Saccharomyces cerevisiae S288C: one gene and its partners. Changing the gene in region 1 together with any one later gene gives a genetic interaction. Each region holds a gene or a part of one and is shown in the gene's direction. Other genes may lie near its edges.

Evidence for each region. Genes that interact genetically often act in the same process or in processes that back each other up.
Region 2: mutations in ISY1 (region 1) and HUB1 together harm fitness more than expected from each alone (negative genetic interaction), as found in Saccharomyces cerevisiae (4 studies listed by BioGRID, with this or other methods).
Region 3: mutations in ISY1 (region 1) and NTC20 together harm fitness more than expected from each alone (negative genetic interaction), as found in Saccharomyces cerevisiae (6 studies listed by BioGRID, with this or other methods).

What each region holds. Positions count from the first base shown.
Region 1 is NC_001142.9:526,843-529,910, forward strand, and holds ISY1 (Isy1p), read left to right. Parts: upstream 1-1,854; coding exon 1,855-2,562; downstream 2,563-3,068. Other genes in the region: UTR1 (NADH/NAD(+) kinase), read right to left, coding at 42-1,634; OSM1 (fumarate reductase), read left to right, coding at 3,019-3,068. UniProt on the Saccharomyces cerevisiae protein: Involved in pre-mRNA splicing and cell cycle control.
Region 2 is NC_001146.8:686,743-689,336, reverse strand, and holds HUB1 (ubiquitin-like protein HUB1), read left to right. Parts: upstream 1-1,872; coding exon 1,873-2,094; downstream 2,095-2,594. Other genes in the region: ABZ1 (4-amino-4-deoxychorismate synthase), read right to left, coding at 1-1,702; putative serine/threonine-protein kinase PPG1, read right to left, coding at 2,221-2,594. UniProt on the Saccharomyces cerevisiae protein: Forms conjugate with SPH1 and HBT1. Involved in morphogenesis.
Region 3 is NC_001134.8:603,185-605,975, reverse strand, and holds NTC20 (Ntc20p), read left to right. Parts: upstream 1-1,868; coding exon 1,869-2,291; downstream 2,292-2,791. Other genes in the region: 40S ribosomal protein uS4 RPS9B, read right to left, coding at 468-1,048, 1,462-1,468; putative ribosome biosynthesis protein GDT1, read right to left, coding at 2,500-2,791. UniProt on the Saccharomyces cerevisiae protein: Involved in pre-mRNA splicing. As a component of the NTC complex, associates to the spliceosome to mediate conformational rearrangement or to stabilize the structure of the spliceosome after U4 snRNA dissociation, which leads to spliceosome maturation.

The sequences.
Region 1 (3,068 bases):
TTTTCTTTTTTTTCTGTACAAACGCGTGTACGCATGTAACATTATACTGAAAACCTTGCTTGAGAAGGTTTTGGGACGCTCGAAGGCTTTAATTTGCAAGCTTCGCAGTTTACACTCTCATCGTCGCTCTCATCATCGCTTCCGTTGTTGTTTTCCTTAGTAGCGTCTGCTTCCAGAGAGTATTTATCTCTTATTACCTCTAAAGGTTCTGCTTGATTTCTGACTTTGTTCGCCTCATGTGCATATTTTTCTTGGTTCTTTTGGGACAAAATATGCGTAAAGGACTTTTGTTGTTCCCTCACATTCCAGTTTAGTTGTCGACTGATACTGTTAATAAACTCATCGGGCGAGGCTTCCACGGTTGGAAAAGCATATGGGCTGGCGCATATGGTTATAAAATCACCTTTTTGCAATTCAATTCTATCTTTCCCATCAAAAGCCGCCCATGCTGGAGCCCTTGACTTCATCGAGACTTTCACTTTTAAATTTATACTTTCTGGTAAGATGATGGGTCTGAAACTCAATGCATGTGGACAAATGGGTGTTAAAGCGATTGCATTGACGGTTGGGCATACCAATGACCCACCTGCACTCAAAGAATAGGCCGTGGACCCAGTCGGAGTAGCAGCAATCAGTCCGTCCGCCTGCGCAACGGTCATTAATGAGCCGTCACCATACAATTCTAACATGGATAGAAAAGGACTTGGACCACGATCGATGGTCACTTCGTTCAAAATGTGGTGTGTGCTTAGTTTTTCCACCACACATATTTTCTTCCCCGTGTTTGGGTCTACTTCAGGGCGGTGTCTACGATAAATTGTGCACTCCAACCTCAACCGTAAATTTGTCTTGATTTTATGATTCATAATCCGAGGTAAATCCTCCCTGAAATGTTCAAACTTAAAATTTGTTAAAAATCCTAGAGACCCTAATGAAAACGACATAACGGGTGGTACATGTCTCTGAAAAATGGAACTTACAAAAAGAACAGTACCGTCGCCACCCAAAGTCACTACCAAATCGAAGAAAACATCATGTTCCCTGATGAAATCCTTTGTCCAATACTTGATCCTTGATTCTCTACATTTACTATCTTCACATAACTCGCCAGCGGCAAATTTTTTGCTGTTTTTCAATTCGGAATCCACATAAACAGTCACACGTGGAAAATGTACCAAAACCCATTCTACCAACTCTCTTGTTAAGAAATACAGTGAGACATCGTTGAGTTTCGTAACAATCATCAAATTTTCCACATCCAGTTCCACTTTGGTATTAGATATATCTTTACTCAACATTCTTACACCATACGCCGTGGAGGCATACTGAAAGTGTGTATTACTACTCTTAGAACTTCCTCTTGTTCCGTTAATGCTCGTACCACCGCCACTGTTTGCATTGCCGTTCACGAGAGATGAATCTTTATTCAACAGGGAGCTTCTGCGCGAGCTGCTTTCACTTGATATTTTCCTCAACATTTCTTTGGCGTTGTCGATATCCTGAGTTCTATCAATTTGCTCATTGTTCATCATGGCCTTCTTCATCAAGTTATTATTGTTGTTATGATGATCATTTCGACCATCTTCCTCATTTACCCATTTATCTACGCCATTATTCATGTCATTCTCCTTCATCTCAAGAGCTTTTACTCTACTTATTTAGGGAGCCTATTGTATTTTTTTTTGGCTTACGATCACGATGTCAATGATCATTTGCCCTATTATACCTTTTTCTCCGTTCTCTTTGCGTAGTGCGGTGAAATAATTTCAGGATGCATGAAAGAGCAAATAAAAGTGACACACCGTTATATCGCAAGGCGCACCACATCAGTAATCAGATACCTGTGCATTCAAAATGAGTAGAAATGTAGATAAGGCCAACTCAGTTCTGGTACGATTTCAAGAGCAGCAAGCAGAGTCGGCAGGTGGATACAAGGATTATTCACGTTACCAGAGGCCCAGGAACGTGTCTAAGGTAAAATCCATAAAAGAGGCCAACGAATGGAAGCGACAAGTAAGTAAAGAGATAAAACAAAAAAGCACAAGAATATATGATCCGTCTTTAAATGAAATGCAGATTGCGGAACTTAACGACGAACTTAATAATCTTTTCAAAGAATGGAAGAGATGGCAGTGGCACATTGACCATACACTTATGGAAAAAAAAACCAAGAGGAAAAGGTTAGAAGACAGTCATGTGCTGATGAATTCAGGAAAGCTGATAAATGGTAAGAGATATTTTGGAAGAGCCCTGGAATTGCCTGAAGTAAAAGAATGGCTCAAGCAGTCTCAAAGGCAGAATGATGGGGGTTCTATAAACACCAAATGCATACCGAAGGATAGAAATGATTTTTATTACCATGGCAAAGTCACAGCCGCCTTAACCGAATTTGAGGCTAACTGGACATCCATTTTGAAAGCACATTATAATGTGCCTGTGAATGAAGATGAAGAAGAAATGTCAAGGCAGACACAAGAAATCCATGTACCAACTCTGGCAGATATGGAGCATTGGTTAGTGCAAAGAAGAAAAAAGAAACTAATGGATGAACTTAACCTTTAGCTATGGAAAATTATTCAAACATTTAGAAGAGGCACTATTTCGAATGACCATCACAAGCATTATAATCTTCAAACATGTCCGAGCTGCAGATATGAAGTAAAATAGTGATCGGGACTCATTTTTTTTTCTTCTATGATATCATATTGTCCCGTTCGTTATTAAATGTAATTCTTCCACCGTACTAGTTATCGAAGGCAAGATCTCCTTTTTACGCTTAGGTAGATTACATAGATTTCATAATGTACACCAATACAAATGTATCTTATACACTCGTCAAATCTTATATGAATCATGCAGGAGTAGCTCTCGTTTTCTTTTTACGAGCTACTTGAAAAAAAAAAACTAGCGAAAATCCTTTGCTTAGAAATCCAGATTTAAAACAAAACCGCCGAAAAGGGAAAGATTTTATGATAGGAAATACCTTAATAATTCTATATCATCCCGAGTCTTAGGAAAATGATTAGATCTGTGAGAAGGGTTTTCATTTACGTCTCAATATTCGTATT
Region 2 (2,594 bases), on another chromosome or scaffold:
TTTCATCTTGGCGGGGAATAATGTCTTTAAACTCAAAAAAACTTGAAAATGGAGCCGGGTTTCTTTGTACCAAGGTCTGGAAAATCCTCCAGGGTTCTATCACCGCAGATGGTACAACTTTGGTTTGCGTTGTGAGACACATTTCATAAGAATCACCCTTATGCATATAATCCTGACATTTCTTAAACGCCTTAGCGTAGTCAAGTTTATCGGGCATAGTTATAATGAAGTCTATCTCCTCTGGAAGATACTTGGGCCAGGACAGGGATTGCTTAATATTCTTCTTTCTAACAAAACTGTCCCTTAATGATTGTTCTAATGCCACTGGAAATGTATTATCCAGAGAAATACAATAAAGCTTCCCTTGCTTGTGATTAATGACTATACTATTGTTGATAAAAACTAGTTTGGCGTCGGGAACAAGGGAATTCTCATCATCATTGCAACGGCCGCATGCAATGTACTGACCTATTTCATAACCTAAAATGCCAACAAGACCTCCAATAAAAGGTATTTCTCTGTGGTTATCGATTATTTTATTCTCCATAAATTTACCCAAAGTGATCCAAAATTGGGATTTATCTTCATGTATTACCTCAAGGGAGCCAGGCAAATCCGAATCTTGACCATCTAGACACTTTTTCAACAAGGTGTAACTAATTTCACTATCTTGCCAATAATGAACTGTAGTCTTTTTCATAGCTCCATAATGAGTGAATACCTGGGATGCGGAGTTTGGTAAAGCAATGATAGACCATTCACCCGTATTTTCACTAATCACAGAAGATGACATGACAAATTTTTCTTCTCGTATGATGTTGCAAATTTCAAATGTCAATTTCGGGTCTTCAGAGACCTCGAACTGCTTAACGTAAGTTGTGTCCTCGCCCTTCGGATATTTCTCTTTTACCTTGTATATGGGGTCTCTATCAATAGTCCTATCCAATCGAGATAGGATATCGGAAAACTCTCCATTAAGTTTCTTCTTTTCCCACCTTCCTGTCTTCACGTTATTTATGAAACTCAACTTGAGAAAGTTACTGACTAACAGCCCCCCCAATTCTGAACAACATGACTCCGGGTGGTACTGTACGCCAAACCATGGCTTATTTTTCGTTTGAGCACTCATCAAAAGAATACCGTTCTCATCTTCGGTTGTGCATAAGGGCAAAAGGGTGTCAATGCCTTCGGCATTGACATGCAATGAATGGTACCTCGTAGATTTGAACGTATCGGGATAACCAGAAAAAAGGCCACAAGCTCTGGCTGCATCGTTTAAATGCATTTCATACACTTGCCCATGCTTGATAGTATTTAGCTCACTGACATCAGCACCTTGAGCCAAGCACATTGCTTGGAACCCAAGACATATACCCAATATTGGAACTTCATCTAACTTTCCATTGGCATTCTCGAAAAGCTCAGATATTATACCCATATCTTGTGCACCATTGTTGGGATTCCCAGGTCCTGGGCCAACAACGATAGCATCAAAAAGCGGCAAAAGTGGCAATAGCTGATCCATAGATTGGAACGTATCACTATGTACCGTCGTCACGTGCACGGCGTTGACTCCCGGTGAGATATCAGTTTGTTGTTCAATTAGTCTCACTACATTGTAGGTGAATGAATCATAAGAGTCTATGAACAGGACATGAAGCTGTTGCTGTTGTTGCTTTGTGTCAATTGTATCGGACAGCATTCCTTTATCCCCCTTGTGAAATCTCGAAAGGTCATCGTGTAAAAGTTCTACGGGAGACTTGCTTGTTTTTATATATTCGCGGTTTTGGCTGAGAGAGATGAGGAGGGAGAGGAAAAGATTGAGAAAGAGGAGCGGTGGCAAAGCTTAGATTGCAAATAAATACTCTGAAAATGATTGAGGTAGTTGTGAATGACCGATTAGGCAAAAAAGTCAGAGTGAAGTGCCTTGCTGAAGATAGTGTAGGTGATTTCAAAAAAGTATTGTCCTTGCAAATTGGCACCCAACCAAACAAAATTGTGTTGCAGAAGGGTGGAAGTGTTTTAAAAGACCATATCTCTCTGGAAGATTATGAGGTACATGATCAGACAAATTTGGAGCTGTATTACCTGTAGAAAATGCGCTGTTTTTTTTTTTTTGATCTAAATACACAATACATACATTTGCAACCGAGAGAGATAGAATATGTAGAAATAATAAGATGGCGTTGTCTCTATAATGCTTTTCTATTGTTTAGTAAGCTACAAGAAGTAATCAACATGTCTGTTAGAAGCAGATCTGGCTTGGTATACATCTGAAAATATGTACATTTCAGGGTCCGTGGAGCCATCTGCGGAGGCAGAGTCGTCTTCGAAATAATCTGCAATCAATTTCCTGTTGGCTACCGGATTAGATATGCTATCTTCTAAGGCATTGTCGTTCATACTGTTCTCTTTCAACAGTTTATTTTCAGGTGCCTCTTCGAAAACGTTGAAGTAGAATTGATCTTTACTATACAGCTCCAGAATAGATGCTTTATTGCCGCACCGATAACAATAGTTTGGCGCCGACCATACAGTAGTAACCAATCCATCAAAATATATCTGGTAACCTTCGTTACATAACTGATGGGCTC
Region 3 (2,791 bases), on another chromosome or scaffold:
TCAAACTCATCCTTGCCTCCAGTAAAAAAGGGTGTGGTGATGGTGAAGATGTACAGGTGTAAAACTGTCAGACTAACAAGTATAATATTGCGATTTATATTATCGAGATATATTGAGGTCAAGAGATATATACCAAAGTGAATGCAAGATGGCATGGAGAATTAGCCTTTAAATATTAACGGCTTCAATTTCTGACAATAAGGATTTCTCCAAGCCAAGGTGTAAAATCCTAAACGCTACTGAGTTGCAGTTGGGAATTTAAATCCGATCAAAATCTTCTAGCTATTTACGTTGGGTATTGAGTAATACTTGTGTCATCCAATGCCATGTCATCTTGCAAGAAAAGCGCCAGTTATGTACCTCTACCCATTTTCAAATGAAATAAAAATGACAAAGTAAAATGAAAAATGATCCGTGATTTGAAAAGTTATAAAATTTATTATACAGTTATGAAATCAGCGAATTATTTATTCTTCGTCTTCGGCTTCTTCAGCAGCTTCACCGGAAGCTTCAGCCTTTCTAGCAGCGTTTCTTCTAGCAACTCTACCTGGTCTAGCACCACCGAATGGAGAAGTTGGAGCGAAGTCAATGTGCTTTTCAGAGTCCAATCTGACCATGAAAGATGGGATGTTGACGATTTGCTTACCAACAGCAATGTGTCTTTGAGTGATTAAAACTCTGGCGTGGTGGACAGACTTGGCCAAACCCAACTTGTAGACTTGAGTTTGCAATCTTCTTTCCAAGAAATCTTCAACCTTCAAAGCCAAAACATAATCCAACTTCTTCTTGTCTTCGGACAAGACACCAACTCTAACCAATCTTCTGATCAAGGCATTACCTTCGAACAATCTCTTTGGGTCCTTTTCGTCTCTAGTTAACAAGTCTCTGGCAGCACGACGAATTTTAGACAATTGGAAAGAAATTCTGTAAATTTCTCTCTTGTTCTTCAAACCGAATTCACCGGCCAACTTCAATTCTGCGTCCAAACGAGAAGATTCGTAAGGTCTCTTTGGTGTAGAGTAAGTCTTAGAGTAAGTTCTTGGAGCTCCTAAAAAAAAAAAAGTAAAATTGGATTCTTGTTAGTCAAAAGTTTTCCCGGAACAAAAGTCTGCAAGGGCCCAAGTAAGTGCTCATAAATATTGTAGAGATATGATTAAAAACGCATAATTAGGTATCCGCCTTGGAAAATAAAATACTGTCCCATTGTTACGAGAGAGATGTTCCCTATTAGATCACCTTGATCTCTAATGTATCCCTGTTTAACTGAAGTGTCGGGAGTTCAGTGTAAATAAAGATATTCATAATATGGATAGTAATTCAGGCTGTTGTCGTGCTACTCAATGAAGGTATACTATTATGGAATTTCATATTCTCAAATATTTATGAGGACCCGAACCTCTTTCAAAATCAACGAGTCAGAGTGAAGAATTTCCCTCCTCTTCGATATAGTCTAATACGTACTTGGCATTGTTGCTTAGTCTTAGTTGTCTTGTTGCTTTCTTTCTTGTCTATGCAAATGAACAATTTTATTAAGTAAACTTCATGAAATTTATGCATAATGCTTAATGGGATTGAATGTTAAGCTACATGAGTGAAGCGCGTCCACCTGAAGCCGCCAACTTTATGATTTTTTCAAGTAACCTTTGTTTTGCGAATATGAAAAATGTACAGATGTGTAAATGTACGGATTAAATCGTCGCAGCGGGGAACACCGCTTTCTGAAATTGAAAGTTTCCATACTAGAAGGTCAAGATGCTGTCAATTAGGCTAGGAATGATACAGAAAAGCTGGCTAGCCGTTCCTTCAAAGCCTTCCATTACATCTACTTTTTTACGACTTACTTGTTGCGACTACTTTTTACAACCAGTATGCCCTCTCTGCGAGATTTATCACTAGAAAGGGACCAAGAATTAAATCAGTTACGTGCCCGTATCAACCAGCTGGGCAAAACAGGCAAAGAAGAAGCCAATGATTTTGTTGGTTTAAATATTTCAAATGAACCTGTATATGACACGGTGATTCAAACAGGACAGAGCTCTAACGCAACGAATAGTTTTGTACAAGAAACTATTCAGAAGACGAAACAAAAAGAGAGTGGTCAGCCATATATTATCCCCCAAAAAAACGAACATCAGCGTTACATCGATAAGGTTTGCGAAACCAGCGATCTCAAAGCCAAATTAGCGCCTATTATGGAAGTGCTCGAGAAGAAAACGAATGAAAAAATTAAGGGAATAATAAGGAAAAGGGTATTACAGGAACCCGACCGTGACAATGATGATAGCGGCTGATCGGATAATTACAACCAATTGCGTGCGCAAGACTTCATTGGGTTGGCTGGGAAAGAAAAGCGATGAACTTAGCAAAAAAAAAAGCTACATCAAATAAATATCAGCCGTACACTAGTTACGTATGTCTATAAATATTCTTTTCAAGATTCACACTTAAATATGAAGAGAAAAAAGAGAGAATCCAAGAAGAATACGGTTACAAACCATCTCAATCCTGAGTTGTGAATGCTTGATATATATACATCAAGGCGAAAATGAAGAATAACAACGAGCTAGCAAGAGTGATTGTTCTTATGCTAATTCTTGTTGCCAATAATTTCCCACCCACCACTGCTAATCCAGAGCAAATGGCATGACCAATAACAGCACCTGCAATAACATACCAATAGTCGCTGTCAGTAGCCATGGCAATAATACTAATTTGTGAACGGTCACCTAGCTCGCCTAGGAAAACCATCAGGAAAATTTGAACCCAAACTGGGGAAAACATAAATGATGCT